Coturnix japonica: one gene and its partners. The main gene of each other region encodes a partner of the protein of the gene in region 4 in a complex. Links are inferred from orthologs where the notes say so. Each region holds a gene or a part of one and is shown on either strand. Other genes may lie near its edges. The genes, in order: XIAP, OGT, MAPK14 and TAB1.

Region 1 (3,560 bases), on a different chromosome or scaffold from region 4:
TTAACTTAGAAATTTGGTTTTATTATTATTATTGTTATTTTTACTATATACCTTCAGGAAGTATTGAAACTTCAGCAGCTTCTATCTAAAAAATAAATAGAAAGATGAAAAAAATTACAATTCTGGAATGAGTACGAGGAGACCTATACAGTTATAAGACACAAAATAGCTATTTGACCTCAGTTATTTTATTGAGTAAAACTACTATAGTTAGAGCAGATTTTCTCTGCTCTAAACATTGGCAAAGGGATTCATACTTTGTTATGGCATTCAGACTTTGTTACATTTTCATTTTAACACTTTTCTGGTGCAATAATATGTACGTGGCTCTTGGTTCCCAGCCTACAAGGATTAGCATTTCAGTATGGAATATATAACAACCCACAAGGCACCCAAGCTGGCATTCATTATCTAAGTAGGGACAACTGTACAATCTATGAAGCTCAAATAGCAGAATCAAAACATACTTCAATGTTTTTTTACTTTCTGCCAAGGAAAGAAGCAGCAGGAAGACTAAAAAGTTATGCAGATGATCAGAAGATTGACTTCATACGAAAATTAGGTTATGATTGTTTTCTACTTCAGTAAAATATTTAATCAATAAGAAGACACTTACTGTTGAATCCCTACATCCATCTCTTAAGTGAACATTATTAATAAATTCTATTCCCTTTTCCTCTCTCAAGAACTTGCACCTATAAACAAAAATATTTAGTTATCATATAACTACATAAGCAGCAAACAGAAGTTGATATTGTAACTTCATAAAGGTTTGATACAATTCCTACCTCACATAGAATGCTTGCTTCCCAAACTTCAAAATGAACAATCAACATCAGTAATATCACCTAAGTGCTTCTAAAAAGTTATTAATTGCTTCAGCAGTAATTATGTGTTGCAGATTTGGTGAAACAGGAAGCTAAGGAACTGTTGGCCATGTCACCTCATGCTACATGTTTATAGTAGTAAAAAACTCCAATGAATTAATGAATAACTAACATCATGTCAAAACACTGGTTCTTTAAGTAGTTTGTAATCACAGAAAAGCAGCAACTGGTAATGCAGATGCTTTGTGTTTTGTTATTTTCCAACCAGTCCAAGCTACTGGGCAGTAGCTGGGGCAGATTTTATTTATTTATATGAGCATGGCAAATAGATTCTTGTTCATTGCTGGTGAAAACACATACCTAGCTGTGGTGACTATGCTGAAAAATAATGCTTTATAGCTGAGAATTTGCTCTATCAGACAGTGCAATTGTGCTTTTTGCATCTGTTGTAGTTTCCCTGTAAATAAATGAGACATTAATTTTGGAATCATCTATGTAGCATATTGTGAGAATCTGAAACACTGCCACCAATGTGGATGTGCTAACAAAAAGAAACCCTCCACTGTCATAAATAGAAACAGCATCAAAGTCACAGTCAGATTTCTAAAGACCTTACTAGTAGGCTCTGTCATAAAAACAAAATACTATGAAGACAACTCAGATGTGCACAGCCCTGTTTATTGCAGGGGCACTGGACTAGATGACCCTTAAAGGTCCCTTCCAACTCCAGGGATTCTACAGTTCTATGAAGTGTCAAAAGAAAACTGTAAAAAAAATACCTTACCCAGGAAACCACTTGGCATGTTGATCCCATGGGTCTTCATTTTCCTTCCATTCTTGCAATCCTCCACCGCAGTGGAAGCACACAACATGATCACCATTACCTTAGCAAACACCCAAGTTACATATTTTTAGTATGCACTGACAAGGAGTTCTTAGCTGAAGCACTACATTATTACAAACAACAAACATTTATATTACTGAGTGGAAATTGTAATTGGAAAATAATCCGTATAAGAGTATAATAAACATGATCTGAAACAAACGTTCAGGAAAAAAAAAAAAGTTGACCTTAAAGTCACATAAAATAGAGTCACATACAATATTTGAGAATTCTGATATAGCAAGTAATTAAAAAGCAAATGCTAAAAAGAGTCTATTATCAGATAGTGCATCCCTCTGATAAACAGGCCATTAAGTCATTACCACAAAAAGTTTATTTGGAAAGGAACTGACACAACTTTATCTGTTTGTCCTCATGACCACAGTTCTGTTTTCTATTCAAGTAACAGTAAAGCAAGAATAGAAATTACTAATAGGAATTTCATTCAAAAGAGTGTTCTTTGCTCCTTCATTTCACCATTAAAATTAATGGGTTCTACATAGAAGCAGCATAACTGATGGCAATTTCTGAAGAAATAGCATTCCTTCAGCACTAGCACTGTGCCTACCCCCATCAAAGACTGCACCAGAACTCTCTCAGACTCTGTGCTGACTGAAATAAGAGGGAGGGGGTACTTTTGTTTGTTTGTTTTTCACCAAAACTAACTCTGTCTCAGCCTACCAGAAATGCAAAGCCGTTTAAAGAGCCTTTTGGTCTCTTAAACTGCCTGTTCAGTTCACCTTCACAGTATAGATCTCTCTTGGCCAAGGTAAGCTACTTACTGTCAGGAGTCCAAGATGGAACTAATAAAACAATTCTATTGAGTACAAATATTACCTGTGTTCCACTTATGTAAGAATATATCAAGAGTTTTATTTATGGCCACAAGCAAAGCAAATGGTATCAGATTAAAAAGCTCTTCTGGGAGCTACTAAGGGAGAAGCCAATTAAGATGAGAGCAAGAAATTATCCTGGATAATCCCCTTTTCTTTGTGACCTAATAATAGCACAACTTTGCACAGCATCTCTCAGTAAAGAATTTCAAAGAGCTTTATCTGCACCACACAATTCAATAAGGAATTATTTGCCTTCTCCAGATTGAAAAAGCAATGCACAACGATATTAGAGCCTTATCCAGATGATACACTGGATTCCTAATAGTAAAATCTCTTCCAGTAGAGTCCTCGTCTTCATAAAGCTTTTACATTAGGTAATAATGGCACTTGCTTTTTTTGGTTGTCTGGATGCCATGATAATGTAAACACATTAACTAATTAAAATGGCATATAACCTGCACTGTCTTGGTTCAGAAGCTTCAGAGCTACACAGTTGCTCTTTAGACCTGAGGTGTTTATCTGGAGGACAGCACTTCATTTTTTAAAACTATTTGCTTCAGTTATTGCTATTGTAAAAGATACATTAGGAGGGTTTTAGCAGGTAAGGAAAACTTATTTTGATGCTCTGCTGCTAACAAAGCAAACAAACAAACCTGACAATTTGATATTGTGCTAAGAAACATTCTCATAGGGTGGCTGTAATCATGCAAGAGAAACACAAGAAGTAGTTTGTAAAGGAAAGCAGAATGAATACCAGTTCTACTAAAAGTCTGGCAAACCGTTCTGCATTAGAATAGGAAAGTGCTTATATTTTTCATTATAAAACATATTTGCACAACATTTATTTGTAAGATGTAATCGCCATTTGGGGGTCTATCTTACCTGTGCTATAGAACCCTGCTTCAGCAAGATGTTCCTTGTTAACAGGGTATATCCAAGTTAAAAACGTTTGTATCCGCCTCTCATATTCTACCATGGATGGATTCCTTGGATGCTGTTCGTTGCTTAGACAGC
Region 2 (4,319 bases), on a different chromosome or scaffold from region 4:
TTAACAAAGACAATTGAATAGGAGTGTCTGCCTGTTTACTGTTTGATATACATTCATGCTTAAGCAAAGCAAACATACAGCCAACATACGTGGGCTTACAGAGCTACCTTACATGTAGCTTCTCCTTGTTTAACCACCTCCCCTGTCCCCACTGCAGGTTCTACTGAGAAAGACAACCCAGCTCAATCAGCAGGATTCAAGTCTCCTCCTCAAACCTGAGCTCTACGTGGATTGAGAAACCATCACAAATACTCTGTTAAGCCTCTTCAAACATTTGCATGCTTTTTTCTATGCAGTGTTTCACTTACAGTCTTTCAGAAACAGAATACAGCAGACAAGCATAGGTTTAAAGTTCTGTCTTGCTCTCCTCTGTTTCATTTTCCCCCATCTAAATTATTACTACAGCTTCAATCAGAAGCCTACAGAGTAAATCCCAGTTACAAGTCATTACTTCCTTCACCAGCACAGACATTTAAAGTCCCAGAGGCTTGACAGACACAAGGTCAGGGAGAGGCAGGCAGAAGCAGCAGTGACAACTCTTAATTAAGCAATGCCATCTCACTGTAAACAATCAAACTCAGAACTTAAAGTATTAAACGCACACTGCAGGTGGAATACATGAAAGCTCCTTGTTTGCATGTGCAAATAACTCAGGGGCATGCAAGCATACAATACGAAAACGGCATGAGAGTAACAGCACTATCTGATGCTTGCTGCAAAGCTAGCAACTCCCACTTGTATTCCTCTTACCCTAAAAGAACTCAAGAAACAAGAACATTATTTCTGGCCAGTCATTACTGCTAGAATCAAGTCAGCATCTGCATTCAGTTCTAAAGCCAATGTCAGATAAGCACTTCTATTAACTGTGCTCGATACTATGAGGAGCACAAACTCCAAAAGAAGCTTGAACGCAACATCTCCATCCTACCTGTCCAATCTGCGACACTGGAAGTGAATAGACGATAGCAATAAAAGCACACCAGTATTATCAGGCTCTTGTCTCCAAAGCTGCATGCAGTGTCTCTCTGCTGCTTCAAAGTCTCCTGCCTGATACTCACGATGAGCCAACTCCGCTAACCCTTGGAAGGAAAGCATACGTTTCGTTGGTTCTGGAGAATCACCAAAACATTCAAGGGGGGAAAACAAAAAGTTAGAGAATGGAAACCAAACCAAAGAAACCAAACAGAAACTAAACGAAAATAAAACACCAACCAAAACCAAACCAAACCAAAAAAGAAACGGCGTATAAAACTAAAGGATGAAAACGATTGGGATGACACAAAACAACGCAGCAGGTGGAGGTTTGTGCTCTCACATCTTCAGGCCCCAAGCTGCTGCTGTGGGATTTCACCAGTTAACAGTTTAGAAACAAAAACAGCCATTACGGTTACACAACTTCATGTATTTTTCAAGTTAACGGAATGCAGTTAAGATAATCCTACTGTAAAGCAGTTACTTGGGCTCATACAGGCAGCAGAGCCAGACAATGAATTTCCTTGCCCCCTCCCCCCCATCCCCAGACCGGGCATGTAACACTTCCTAGCTCTGAAAAGCACTAAAAACCTCACAGGGAAATGCAGGACCACAGACACAAACTTCAAAGGACTCGAACTAAAGGAAGTTCTGCTGTGCCAGTAGATCCGTATCTTGTGAAAGCCCTTAAAGAAAAAGGCGTAATGCGCAGCGTTCCTTTAAATCTCCACTCCGCCGGCGTTATCTGCCACGCATAACAATTCCTCCATTGGCAAAGCGGCTGAATGCTATCTGATGGAAGAGCAGCGAGCTCCCGGGGCTGGGCTGCAACGGGGGGGGAGACAAACTACTTCCATCAAACACCGGGCTCAAACAAAACAACCCATGTGAGCACCCAGTCGTTACCGGACTGTTCTGCATTAGAATAGAGAAAGAGCAGCCCTTCAGGCGGTGCCTTTACACCACTCGGACCTGCTGTTAAAAGCCCTGAGTACTGCAAGCACCTCTTATTTTCCCCTCCTAAGCTCAGGGCAGGGAAGGGCAACGCTCCCAGCGCTCTGCGTGCACTGGGCCCCATTCGTCCAGCACTTCCTATCTGGCCCTACGGAATTCCACATCTCTGCTGTAACGAATCACACAATGGTTTGGGTTGGAAGGAGCCTTTAAGATCACGTAGTCCCAACCCTTTGCTATAGCAGGGACACCCCCCCCCCCTCTAGCCCGGGTTGCTCACAGCCCCATCCACCCAACCCGGCCCTGAGTGCTGCATGGCAGAGGGCGTTCACATCCTTGTCGGGCAACATGAACCAGTGTCTCCCCATCCTCACGGTCCAGCATTCCTGCCAGTTATCTACCCCTGTTCTAACGGAGCTGCATAGCGCCGGGCCGCAGTGCAGGCCGTGGAGCAGCGCTGACTGGGGGCTGTTAGCGGTGACCTTGGTGCTCCCGCAGCGCAGCGGCCCGGCCCCCAGCACAGCGCCCGTTCCCGTACCCACATCCCCACACCGCTCCGCTCCGCGCCGCCCCTTCCCCCCCGGCCGCCCCCGTGGCAGCGCCGTTTATTTCGGGCCCGTTGTCCGCCCTGCCCCGCTGCGGCTGACGGACAAATACAGCGCCTCCAACACGCGGCCCGGCCCGGGCCCACGCGGCCGCTTCTGGAAAGTTCCGCCGGGAGCGGCACCCGCGGAGCGCACCGAGCCCGGCGGTACCTGTGCTGTCGGCCACGTTCCCCACGGAGGTCGCCATCGGGACAGGGGCCGGCGGGGCGCCGGGCTGAGGAGGCGGAGAACGACAGAGCTGCCCGCGCTGCCGGCACGCTGAGGCGGCGGCTCCCGAAATGGCGCTGGCGGAGGCGGCGTCGATCGAATGGCTGCGGCCGGACCTACATCCCCGCGACAAATAGTCCGGGCGGAGCCAGCCCGCGGGGCGCCGAGCGGCGGAGTGATACAGCGGAACTACAGCCGTCTCCTTCCGCCGAGCGCCCCCTCCATGTGTATCACACGGAGCCGCAGCGCAGCTCTGTCAGCTGAGAGATCGCTCCGCGCCGACACATTGCGACAAACGCCGCCGCACTGCGCATGCGCCGCTGGTCGCCTCCACCGGCACGTGCAGCCCGGCCGTGCTGGGTCGGGGGGATGAAGGGGGGACTGGAATTAATTAGTATTTAGCATTAACACACGGGGCGGCTGCTCGCTGCAGGGGGCTGGAAGGCTAAGCTCACCTCCCAGCCATAAAGAACCGCTCTCTGAGCTATCATACAAAGCGCACGGTGCTTTATTCCGAGCAGCCTTCCTCTTCCCCAGACGGATCCAACAGAAACGATTTGACATCTGTTAAAATGAAGAACTAACAGTCTTCAGTGGGATTCCAGAGACAATAAAGGCCACCCCCCCACTGCGCACCGTGCCCTCAGTCTCGTGTTTTACAGCTGATTCAAACAATATTCACATCATATGCAACGCTGTATGAGCAGGCTGCTCCTCGTTAGCACAGTGTTAACGCAGCACCAGCGCTGCTCCTCGGATCCATGTGGGCCATCAGAAAGCACAGAGCTGAGAGCAGCTCATGCAGCAGTCAGTGCAGGGACAAGGAGCGCTCAGGAGGTCATTCATCCGAGTCCAGGTCACTGTCCCCTGCAATGGAGTGGAAATCCTCGCTGTCCTCCTCGTCCTCAGACAGGTGCACCTGGCTCAACACGCTCGGTCCACAACGCTGCTCTTCTTCTTCTTCCTCCTCCTCGGAGATCTCATACCCCCCGATGCTGCTGAAGCTCGTATCCCTTGTGTTGGACTTCGGGTCTGGCTCTTCGTAGCTGCCGTAACTAGGAAAAACAAACAAGTATGCTCATATTCTGTCACAGTGAGCTCCTGTAAAAGGTCCTTGAGATCCTTGAGGAACAACTCGGAACCACTGTGCGCTTCCATGCTGTCAGCTGTGTAAAGCAAAAACCCAGCTCTCCTGAACCAACACACTGCCAGCACCTTTGCTCTGTCCTGGATGTACTCAGGGCAGGAAAAGCAACTGATTGCTTCTATCTGCCTCCTTCACTGCAGATAGAAAGGCAGACGGTGCAACAACCACCATCAGAGCACAGCCCATCCACACAGCCAGTTGCTGAGGCACTGGGCTGGGCAGACCATTCACCCCACCCAGCACAGCCCCTCTTACAGGGAGGTTTTCATCACCTCTGCTTGGGCAGAATTTGCCTGTACAACTTGTTTAGGCAGACAGTAGCAGTACTGAGTACCCACGTTTCAAGTTAATCAGCCAAATCATCTTTAACTTCAAAGTCAGCTTCATTTCTGAGATGATCTATTACAAGCTGTATTTGTATTGCCTTCAGAAAC
Region 3 (3,560 bases), on a different chromosome or scaffold from region 4:
CCCACAGCACTGGCCAATAAAACAAGCTGGAAGAGTCCATTAGCATGGGGCATCCCAGTAATTTGTGCTGAATTTCACAGCTGATTCAAAATAATGACAAATCAAGGCAGCAAAATTCCTACAATAGCCTGGGAAAGGAAGGGAGATGCAAAAGACTTTTCTTGCAATCTCCAGAGAAGTTACCTACACATCATTGAATTCTTCCAGAGACTTGGCAGGGGTGAACACATCCAGCAAGCCGATCACCTGGAAAAACAAAGTGAAAAAGTCACGAAAAACATTAATCATCTGAATGATACAGTCAGTAAGGTCCTTTGTGGAACAGAAACTACTCCTTCCAACAGATGTTTCATTTCCAACTATATGAATCATTTGGATGTAAGCAAATGAGTATTTGTACAAGGTCAGAAACAAGCATTCAAATACTAAGTAAAAAAAAAAAAAAAAAAAAGATAGTCAAAATATACAGCTGTCTTTTACACCAACCATCTACTTACAACATCAAGCAGGAGCCACAGCAAGCCAAGGCAATAAAAGGCAAGTGTCAGCACTGGTTAAAAATACCTTATTTAAAACCCAGCTGAAGTTTGGTGAGTAAATAAATGGATGAGCAAACACGAGGCAGAAATCAGTTTGCTTCCTGCTAGGTTCTTAGTTGTGCTGTTGACTATATACTAGATCAGCAGCAGGAGACTTTTTTTCACTCGCACTGAGTAATAGCTAGAGGAAGGAAACCACCAATAATCTCTGCTGAAAGCAACAAATAATGTCTACACTGGAAAATAAGAAGTGAAATGAGTCTCAAAAACAGCATGCTGCATCACAGAGCCAAATTTCACTAAGAGCTGAGAGCTTCACACTGCCATTTATATCTGCTGCCCTAAGAGTCTCCACTCTACCCCTCATTTTCACAGCTAAGCTGTTCCAGCAGTGGAGAGCAAAAGGGAACGTATGTGTTACCTCATGGAAATGCACAATTATACCTCATCACTCTGTAGGCAATAAGGAATAGGTCATGGACATTTCATTTGGAAAACAATCCATCTGGTCCATAAAATTGTTTGAATTTCCACTGAGATTTGCTTTTAAAAATTATCCTTCTCTTAACAGCACAGCATTACTTAGGATTATGAAATAAAGGTACAGACTCCTTCCTCCTATTTTAGGCTTGCATCTCACCTGCCTTGGATTCATTCGCATCACACACATTTCAGTAACTTCAGCAGTGGTTCAAACATACATATTAAACAAAGTGTTGGATGCCAACGTTCCCTTTCAGCACATATTAATACCATCAATTGCAATTGTTAAGGATGACAAAATCAACCTTTTACCATTAACATCCATGCTTCAAAATAACTCCTATGCTTTCTTTGCTCTGTGGACTTCTCCATGCCAACGTTTACAAAAATTATGCAACATTATCCTCCCAGTTTAGCAGTAAAAAAAAACCAAAAACTGACCTTGTTACCAAGATTTCCATTTCCTCCCTTACCATTTCCATCTTGCTACAGTGTAAAGCACACTACTGAACTATCCATATATTTCTCACTGACTAGTTTCACACACAAATGCAATTACTCTGTAGCACAACACTGACAGTTCTAACCATACTGGTCATCCCCAGACCAAGAATCAGCTCCTGAATTTCTGCACTCCCCTTCAATTTTAGGTTGTTAACTTCTTCATACAACACTAAAGTTGACTCTCACACCTGCTCAGTATTCTGCCTTATGTAAGCTAATGAGGCCTCCTGGAGCCTGAACATATAACAGAACCATGCTTGACTGCTCCACAGGCCGATTTATTTGTTCAAGATCAACACAATCAGTCTAGATATAGAACAGAAAACCATCCCTGCTCAAGATCCTTGAAACATTGTACCTACCACATTTGCTGAAGTGTTCTACGTCATGTAAAGCAGGGTATTTTACTTCCAAACTGAGATCTGAATAGACAGCTCGCTTGAACTAACCAGCCTACCTGAACTGGCTCTGAGCATCTTCACATCTGCAAGATTTTAAACCACACCCAGATAAAAATCCCACAGACAGCAGTATGATGAACTGACAGTAAACACTTCTATATACAAAAAAATTCTAACAATATAATCTTATCTCCTACTCTCAAAGCTACACATGCACTTCACGACACTATTCAAAAGTATTAATGAACACCAGACACAGAGCTGCTGTAGCACCAGGCTAATTCCCACTGTGGAACCATAGAATCATAGAAATCTAACCCAATTAGCTCAGACAGAATGGATCAATGTGCTGATGCAGAGATACATCTAAACACATTCTCCAAACAGTTCCAGAGCAAAGCTTTGAATATATTTCTGGTATGAGAAAAGGTAGAGAAAAAAAAAAACCTCAGGGGGATGGATATTAAGCAGGATCGATGGATGGCTGCCTCTGTTACTCAGATAACAGCATCACATAGAGGCACTGAGGAAGTACTGCTGAGTTCAGGCTGCGCGTGCACCAAAAGGTCCAATTACATCAGCCACACTGTCAACACAAACAAGATTCAAGCAATACCATCTGCTTGCTGTGGCAGAAAGAAGCCACGGCACAAAACCACCACTGCCACAAAAGAAGTTCTGATCCGACCATTCAGGGAGAAGCTCCCATCAAAATTGGGCTTGCTTGTTGCGTTAAAAACACTAGGCTTGCTCAGTCCACTTCTAAATCAGTATTTCCCTTCTGCTACATTGGAGTTCACTTGTACAAAAATTAAGAGCCTTCCTTTTCTCTTGATGTTGACAGCTCTAAAGAAGGCAAGATAATTTTTGCTCAATTGCAGGCAATATTTTCTCTGAACAGCATGCGATATAAATATACCAGTGTGTTAATGCCACAAACACAAAGAACTGCTCAAGTGGTTTCCACAGCAAATGGAAGTTAAACAGAAAAAAATGATTAGACAGCATATAGCATAGCTTAGTATAAGCATTCATGGTCTGTGTTGTTGAAATGGATGGCTTACAAGAACAGATGTCTGATATCTTCCCCTCCCCTTTTTTATTCCTGTTCATCTACAGGAATCTAGTGAACAACTGCTCCAACCCTTTCTGACATGATGACACAAAGCAAGAAAGAAAGCCTTCCATCACGATTCACTGTCTACTGCAAGCTATGTACTTACTATCTGAAAAACCTGTGCAATCAGCCTGGAATGCAATCACACCAGGTAGCCCAGCTTCTCATATAATCTCCTTCTACTTACATTTTCATGTTTCATGTGCTTCAGTAGCCGTAGCTCTCGGTAGGTCCTTTTGGCATGGATGATAGACTGAAATGGTCGGGACAGCTTCTTTACAGCCACTCGCAACCCAGTTTTTGTGTCAAAGGCAGAACTACAACAAAGAGTAATCAAATAGTCAAAATGAATCACTTATAAACACCCTCAAATCCATTTAGCAACTACAAATAGAGGCTGCGCAGGCACTGAGTCACACAGCCGATTCCATTTCTCCCTCTCCACCACCAATAACATCCAGGCTTCCTGGCCTGCAACCTGGCTGCAAATTCCCACACACAGATATAAATGCTGGG
Region 4 (4,342 bases):
CCAGTGCCTCACAAGACAGTTCCTCGCTTCCCACTGAATCTCCACTACCTCTCAACTCATTTTCCCCTTTTCTTTGGTCATAAACATTGTATCCGCCAATATCTGCAGAGATATGACCTTTAAGACTGATCTATCAGTCCCAAAAGTAACAAGGAAATCACTCCTTGACGAGAGAAACCCTCCCCAGCATTCAAATTGCTTCTGCTTCCTAGAACTTCAGCCATGCTCACAAGCACCTTAACCAGGATACTAGCAAAGAAAAACTCACCAACATTGGCGATATAGAGCTTATTGTTGAGAACAACAGCCACGATGGCCATGGCTCCTCCAGAGATCTCCTGCTCTACAACTTTCAATCTCTCCACGATCTTCTGGTATTGAGGAGGCAGCTGGTGATGAGGAACACCCTGGAATCCGAGATTATGGGGGAGGCTTAAACACTCAGTCCACAACAATGAAACCACAGCTACAGTCAACACTTGCATAAAGAAAGAGGACTCATCTTGACAGTCTTGCCTTGAGGCCAAGATGTGCAAGTCATACAATTATTTGTTCAATCCCAATAAACCACATGGGTTTGATAAGATTCTGGAGATGACACTCTAATCCACCTCAAGACCAGAATTCATATCTGCCCATGTGTCATGCAAATCTGAGGCCTTGCCTACCATCCACATCATATGACTTTGTCCTGGAAGAGCTGTAAGTACAGGGCTGAGGACCTTCCCACAGCACCTTTAGTTCTTTACTAAATAAAACAATCATAGGTCTAAGTAGCACCAGTGCAGAACAGACCACGGCACTTCATTCATTTCACACTAGCTCCCAGATGAAAGCTACAGAAACATAGATTTCAATTACAGCCTCCTTTGGACAATGCTGATCAGCATCCCATCCAGTAGTCTGGAAGGTGGGAGCTCCAGCAACTTCTGTCCTTAAGGCTACATTACCTCTGGCAGCTGGGACTGCAGGCTGGCCTTTTCTGCCAAAGCATCATCAATGGACTCCAGGAAACTTCTTTCTACCACATCAAAAGCCTAAAAAGGATCATAAGAGAAAGCGAGCTCTTATCCAGTACCTAGGGAACTTTGAAGCTACCCACCCCCATCTCCTAAGACTAGTTCATAAGAGCAGTTGATTACAGTTCATAGAGATATTGAAGGATCACAGCATCATACTGAAATGCAATTATTTTAGTGCAGCTAGTTAACAGCTTGTGAAAGCAATCTGCTAGTGCTCAAAACAGGAGACAAAACACACAAATTACAAACACAGCAACATCAGAGACCTATCTGATTTTGTATGTTGATTGTAAAAATACTCATCCATTACTCAAGAAAGTGATCTTGCACATGCATCCCCCCACGCCTTAATTTCTCCCTTTCACTCCCTGTCATCTCCTTCTCAGGCTGACTTGCTCCTACATGTCCAGTGAAGGCTGGCTGCAGATTCCTGGAGAGCTGTCAGCAGCACATTGACAGCCAGGGGAACAGACGGGTGCGAGGTGGGAGTGAAACAAAGCACTGCAGCTGCTCAGGATGAGTGCAAGCACAACCACTGGCAGATGTTTCAACCCCCTCAGAACCAGATGCTGCTCTCTGGTGGCAAAAGGAGGAGGTAGGTAGTGTGAGAAGTAGGAGCTGTTCCCAGTTAAAGGTGCTTTACCTGCAGCAGAACTCGGCGAACATCAGCATCACTGTGATCTGCATGCAGCTGGCCCAGCAGCAGTTCTGCAGACAGCCTCTGGCCCACAAAGTTGGTGACTCGGTTGCCATCGTAGCCATTGAAGACACCATAGAGGTAGCAGTTGTTCTCACTCCTATCAGAGAAGGCAAAAGAAGTCACAGATGCCTGTGATACAAGGACAGACATAACAGGTTTCCCCAGAATCCTGTATGCTCTGAGTCCTCAGTGAAAGGCTAAATATCACCTGCAGACAGAAGCAGGTAAAGGAGTCTGTGACCCAGGCACAATCAACTTACCTGAATTTCAACCAGTTATCTTCCAAGGGGTGACCCTCTGTACCTTTGCCATCTGCACTGTAAGAACGGTTTGGAGCCGAGCCCACCCCAGAGAGATGGCAGGATGGTAGGTCATCTGTCCAGCTGGGCTGCTGTTCCTGGGAGACAGAAAGAGGTCATGTAAAGGCTGATGTGAGAATGCTGCTTCAGGATGAGCTACAGGTTAATTCCCACCCTCTCACTAACAGGGCAGAGCACCTCCCAGAGAACTTCATGATCCCTGCAGCAGAGCTGCATCACTTACCCCTTGCTTTCCCTCTGAAGCTGAGCTCTGGTTGCATGCCCAGCTCTTTCCAACAAGAAACCAGAACTGAGACTTGCACCCAAGCTTGATACACAGCACTAATAGTGAGTTTAGTGGATGGGACCCTCACACCTGGGGTCCCCGCTAAGAAAACGGGTCCGCGGGGCGGCCAACACCGACGGAGGGTCCCTGTGCCCACACGGGCCTACCCACTACGGCTGACCCTCACCCCTCAGGCAAGGGCCCAAAGCCCCACACAGCGCTGCGGGCCGGCCCTGCTGCAGCACGGAACGGGGGACACCCACCTCCCCTCACGGCGGGCATCTCCCCTTGCCCGGGCAGGAGAGCGAGGAGGAGGCGCGGGTCCCTCCTCACACACACCTAAGGGGGTGCGCGAGCGAGGAGGGGGAGGGGGAAGGGGGGGGGAACGGCTCCACTCACACTCTGCAGCAGACTCCTCCTCTGCGCCGCCATCTTGCAGCAGCAGCAGCGGCCTCCTCCCTCCTACCCGCCCTTCTCCCTCCAGAGCAGACAAATCTGCCGGGCAGAGAGGCCGCCACTCACAGCCCCGCCCTCTTTCCCACACGCAGAGAGCAGCGCTCGCAGCCAACGCCCCCTTCCGTCACTCCGCCCAATGAGGAGGCGGCGAGGATCACTCTGAGATCCCTTGGTGCAGCCACCGGCCCATCCCCACCATGTCCCCTGCCCTAGTCCCTCAGTGCCACATCCACGCGGCTCTGGAACACCTCCATGGACAGTGACTGCACCACCTCCTTGGGCAGCCTGCAGCGACTCTCCTTATGAGAGGAGGAGTTACAAGTCATTGCTGTGCTCGTATATTGTTAAGTGTGTCCTTCTGAGACTAACGATTGGAGTCTGCATGTTTGTCCTGTTCCTAATTTGTCTGGCTGCAGCTCATGGTCACTGACCATTGCCATCCTGTTTTATTTTCCTTCTCTCTCTCTCTCTGCCTCTTTGTACTTACTGTTTCTCGTGCTTCCCTGGTCCCAGTGCCAGGGATTATATGCACAGTATTTCTAGTGCCAAGCTGCGCTACTGCCTTCCTGTTTGTTCATATGTTTCCTCTGCAGAAAGGGAAGAAGCATTCCACTGGTCACCCTGCTGGGCTAGCAGATAAAAGATGAACAAACATTATTGAACAATATGCTGTGGAGAGCAGGGAGCATAATGCAGCCCCCATCACGGTGCTGTTGTAGGCATTCAGAGACACCCTCACAGTAGAGAGAGAGCTGTCACTGCAGAATAGATTTTGGGCAGAGCTTTAGGCTTGGTTCTGGCAACATTTGGCCTCATCAGTTTTTAACTTGTCCTGTTGCCAAGACATCTGACTTTCTAGGGGCATGGCATCTCTATAGGACTGTAGGAAGGAAGGGGTCTTTGTCCAAAGAAAGAAGGGATGGGTAGGTATATCAGTACATTTAGGTATATGCTTAGGTGCAGCTACAGTGTGTACCCAAGATGGAAGACAGTCCAGAGGACTTGATGCTGCCAGTTGACCATCATGTACTTGTGCTTATCGTCCTCAGGCTACACAAGGGTTGGCACGTTAGATACCTGGGTACTCAGGCGACAGGTGCATTAAAAGGGGATGAGAAGGAAGCTCTATCGAAGCACTGCTGAAAAACATTATTTTGAATCTTGTCACGGAGGAAATTGCAATGATATCCTCCTCAGTGTTGAGCTATCTATTACTGAAACCCAGTCAGCAGTATCTTGAGGGCTCTTGTTTCCCAGTACTTGATTATGTTTTGAAAACGTGTGCTATGCTAGACACCCAAGCAATGGTCACACAGAGATAAATAGAAGACACATCAAACTAATAAACAGATCTTCTTCCCTGGGTGTGAAAATAGTGATGTTTATTCCATATTCTTTCATATTCCCCATCTTCACCTTCTGTGACTATAGCCATTTCACAATAACCCCTAATATAGTACTTCAAGATCCTTCTCATGTTTTCCTCTTGATAAGGTAAGAGACACTTGATGGTAGGTGTGATTTCAAACAAGCCAAGCAGAACAAGCCACTCTTAGAACCTCCTGAAACATCTCTCTCA

What was found.
Region 1: the proteins of TAB1 (region 4) and XIAP are in contact, whole or in part, in a crystal structure (PDB 2POP), measured with the Homo sapiens proteins. The link is inferred for Coturnix japonica from reciprocal best matches to the Homo sapiens genes TAB1 and XIAP. Residues at the interface, in NP_006107.1 of Homo sapiens: Glu99, Ala100, Arg103, Thr201, Gln202, Leu203, Glu212, Asp213, Phe216, Arg217, Gln220, Arg241, Glu269, Glu271, Ile272, His273, Ala275, Gln276, Pro277; in NP_001158.2 of Homo sapiens: Phe33, Ala34, Ser38, Gly39, Pro41, Ser43, Ala44, Ser45, Thr46, Arg49, Tyr75, Ser78, Ala79, Val80, Gly81, Arg84, Phe92, Ile93, Gly95, Tyr97, Leu98.
Region 2: the proteins of TAB1 (region 4) and OGT are in contact, whole or in part, in a crystal structure (PDB 4AY6), measured with the Homo sapiens proteins. The link is inferred for Coturnix japonica from reciprocal best matches to the Homo sapiens genes TAB1 and OGT. Residues at the interface, in NP_006107.1 of Homo sapiens: Pro389, Val390, Val392, Pro393, Tyr394, Ser396, Ala397, Gln398, Ser399; in NP_858058.1 of Homo sapiens: Asp441, His506, His508, His509, Asn567, His568, Pro569, Gly641, Tyr642, Thr643, Lys644, Ala646, Gln849, Phe878, Pro904, Val905, Ala906, Pro907.
Region 3: the proteins of TAB1 (region 4) and MAPK14 are in contact, whole or in part, in a crystal structure (PDB 4LOP), measured with the Mus musculus proteins. The link is inferred for Coturnix japonica from reciprocal best matches to the Homo sapiens genes TAB1 and MAPK14. Residues at the interface, in NP_079885.2 of Mus musculus: Val385, Tyr386, Pro387, Val388, Ser389, Val390, Pro391, Tyr392, Leu405, Ser406, Leu407, Val408, Met409, Pro410; in NP_036081.1 of Mus musculus: Gly110, Ala111, Asn115, Ile116, Cys119, Gln120, Lys121, Leu122, Thr123, Asp124, Asp125, His126, Phe129, Val158, Asn159, Glu160, Asp161, Cys162, Leu217, Thr218, Gly219, Arg220, Thr221, Leu222, Asn272, Val273, Phe274, Ile275, Gly276, Ala277.

Annotation. Positions count from the first base shown.
Region 1 is NC_029519.1:14,631,792-14,635,351, forward strand, and holds part of XIAP (E3 ubiquitin-protein ligase XIAP), read right to left. Parts: coding exon 3,429-3,560; intron 1,712-3,428; coding exon 1,612-1,711; intron 696-1,611; coding exon 617-695; intron 86-616; coding exon 52-85; intron 1-51.
Region 2 is NC_029519.1:2,160,052-2,164,370, forward strand, and holds the start of OGT (UDP-N-acetylglucosamine--peptide N-acetylglucosaminyltransferase 110 kDa subunit), read right to left. Parts: upstream 2,852-4,319; 5' UTR 2,719-2,851; coding exon 2,682-2,718; intron 1,110-2,681; coding exon 929-1,109; intron 1-928. Other genes in the region: TAF1 (transcription initiation factor TFIID subunit 1), read right to left, coding at 3,577-3,793. UniProt on the Homo sapiens protein: Catalyzes the transfer of a single N-acetylglucosamine from UDP-GlcNAc to a serine or threonine residue in cytoplasmic and nuclear proteins resulting in their modification with a beta-linked N-acetylglucosamine (O-GlcNAc).
Region 3 is NC_029541.1:528,252-531,811, reverse strand, and holds part of MAPK14 (mitogen-activated protein kinase 14), read right to left. Parts: intron 3,362-3,560; coding exon 3,232-3,361; intron 247-3,231; coding exon 188-246; intron 1-187. UniProt on the Homo sapiens protein: Serine/threonine kinase which acts as an essential component of the MAP kinase signal transduction pathway.
Region 4 is NC_029516.1:46,232,083-46,236,424, forward strand, and holds the start of TAB1 (TGF-beta-activated kinase 1 and MAP3K7-binding protein 1), read right to left. Parts: upstream 2,839-4,342; 5' UTR 2,740-2,838; coding exon 2,707-2,739; intron 2,120-2,706; coding exon 1,983-2,119; intron 1,820-1,982; coding exon 1,666-1,819; intron 1,038-1,665; coding exon 951-1,037; intron 408-950; coding exon 269-407; intron 1-268. UniProt on the Homo sapiens protein: Key adapter protein that plays an essential role in JNK and NF-kappa-B activation and proinflammatory cytokines production in response to stimulation with TLRs and cytokines.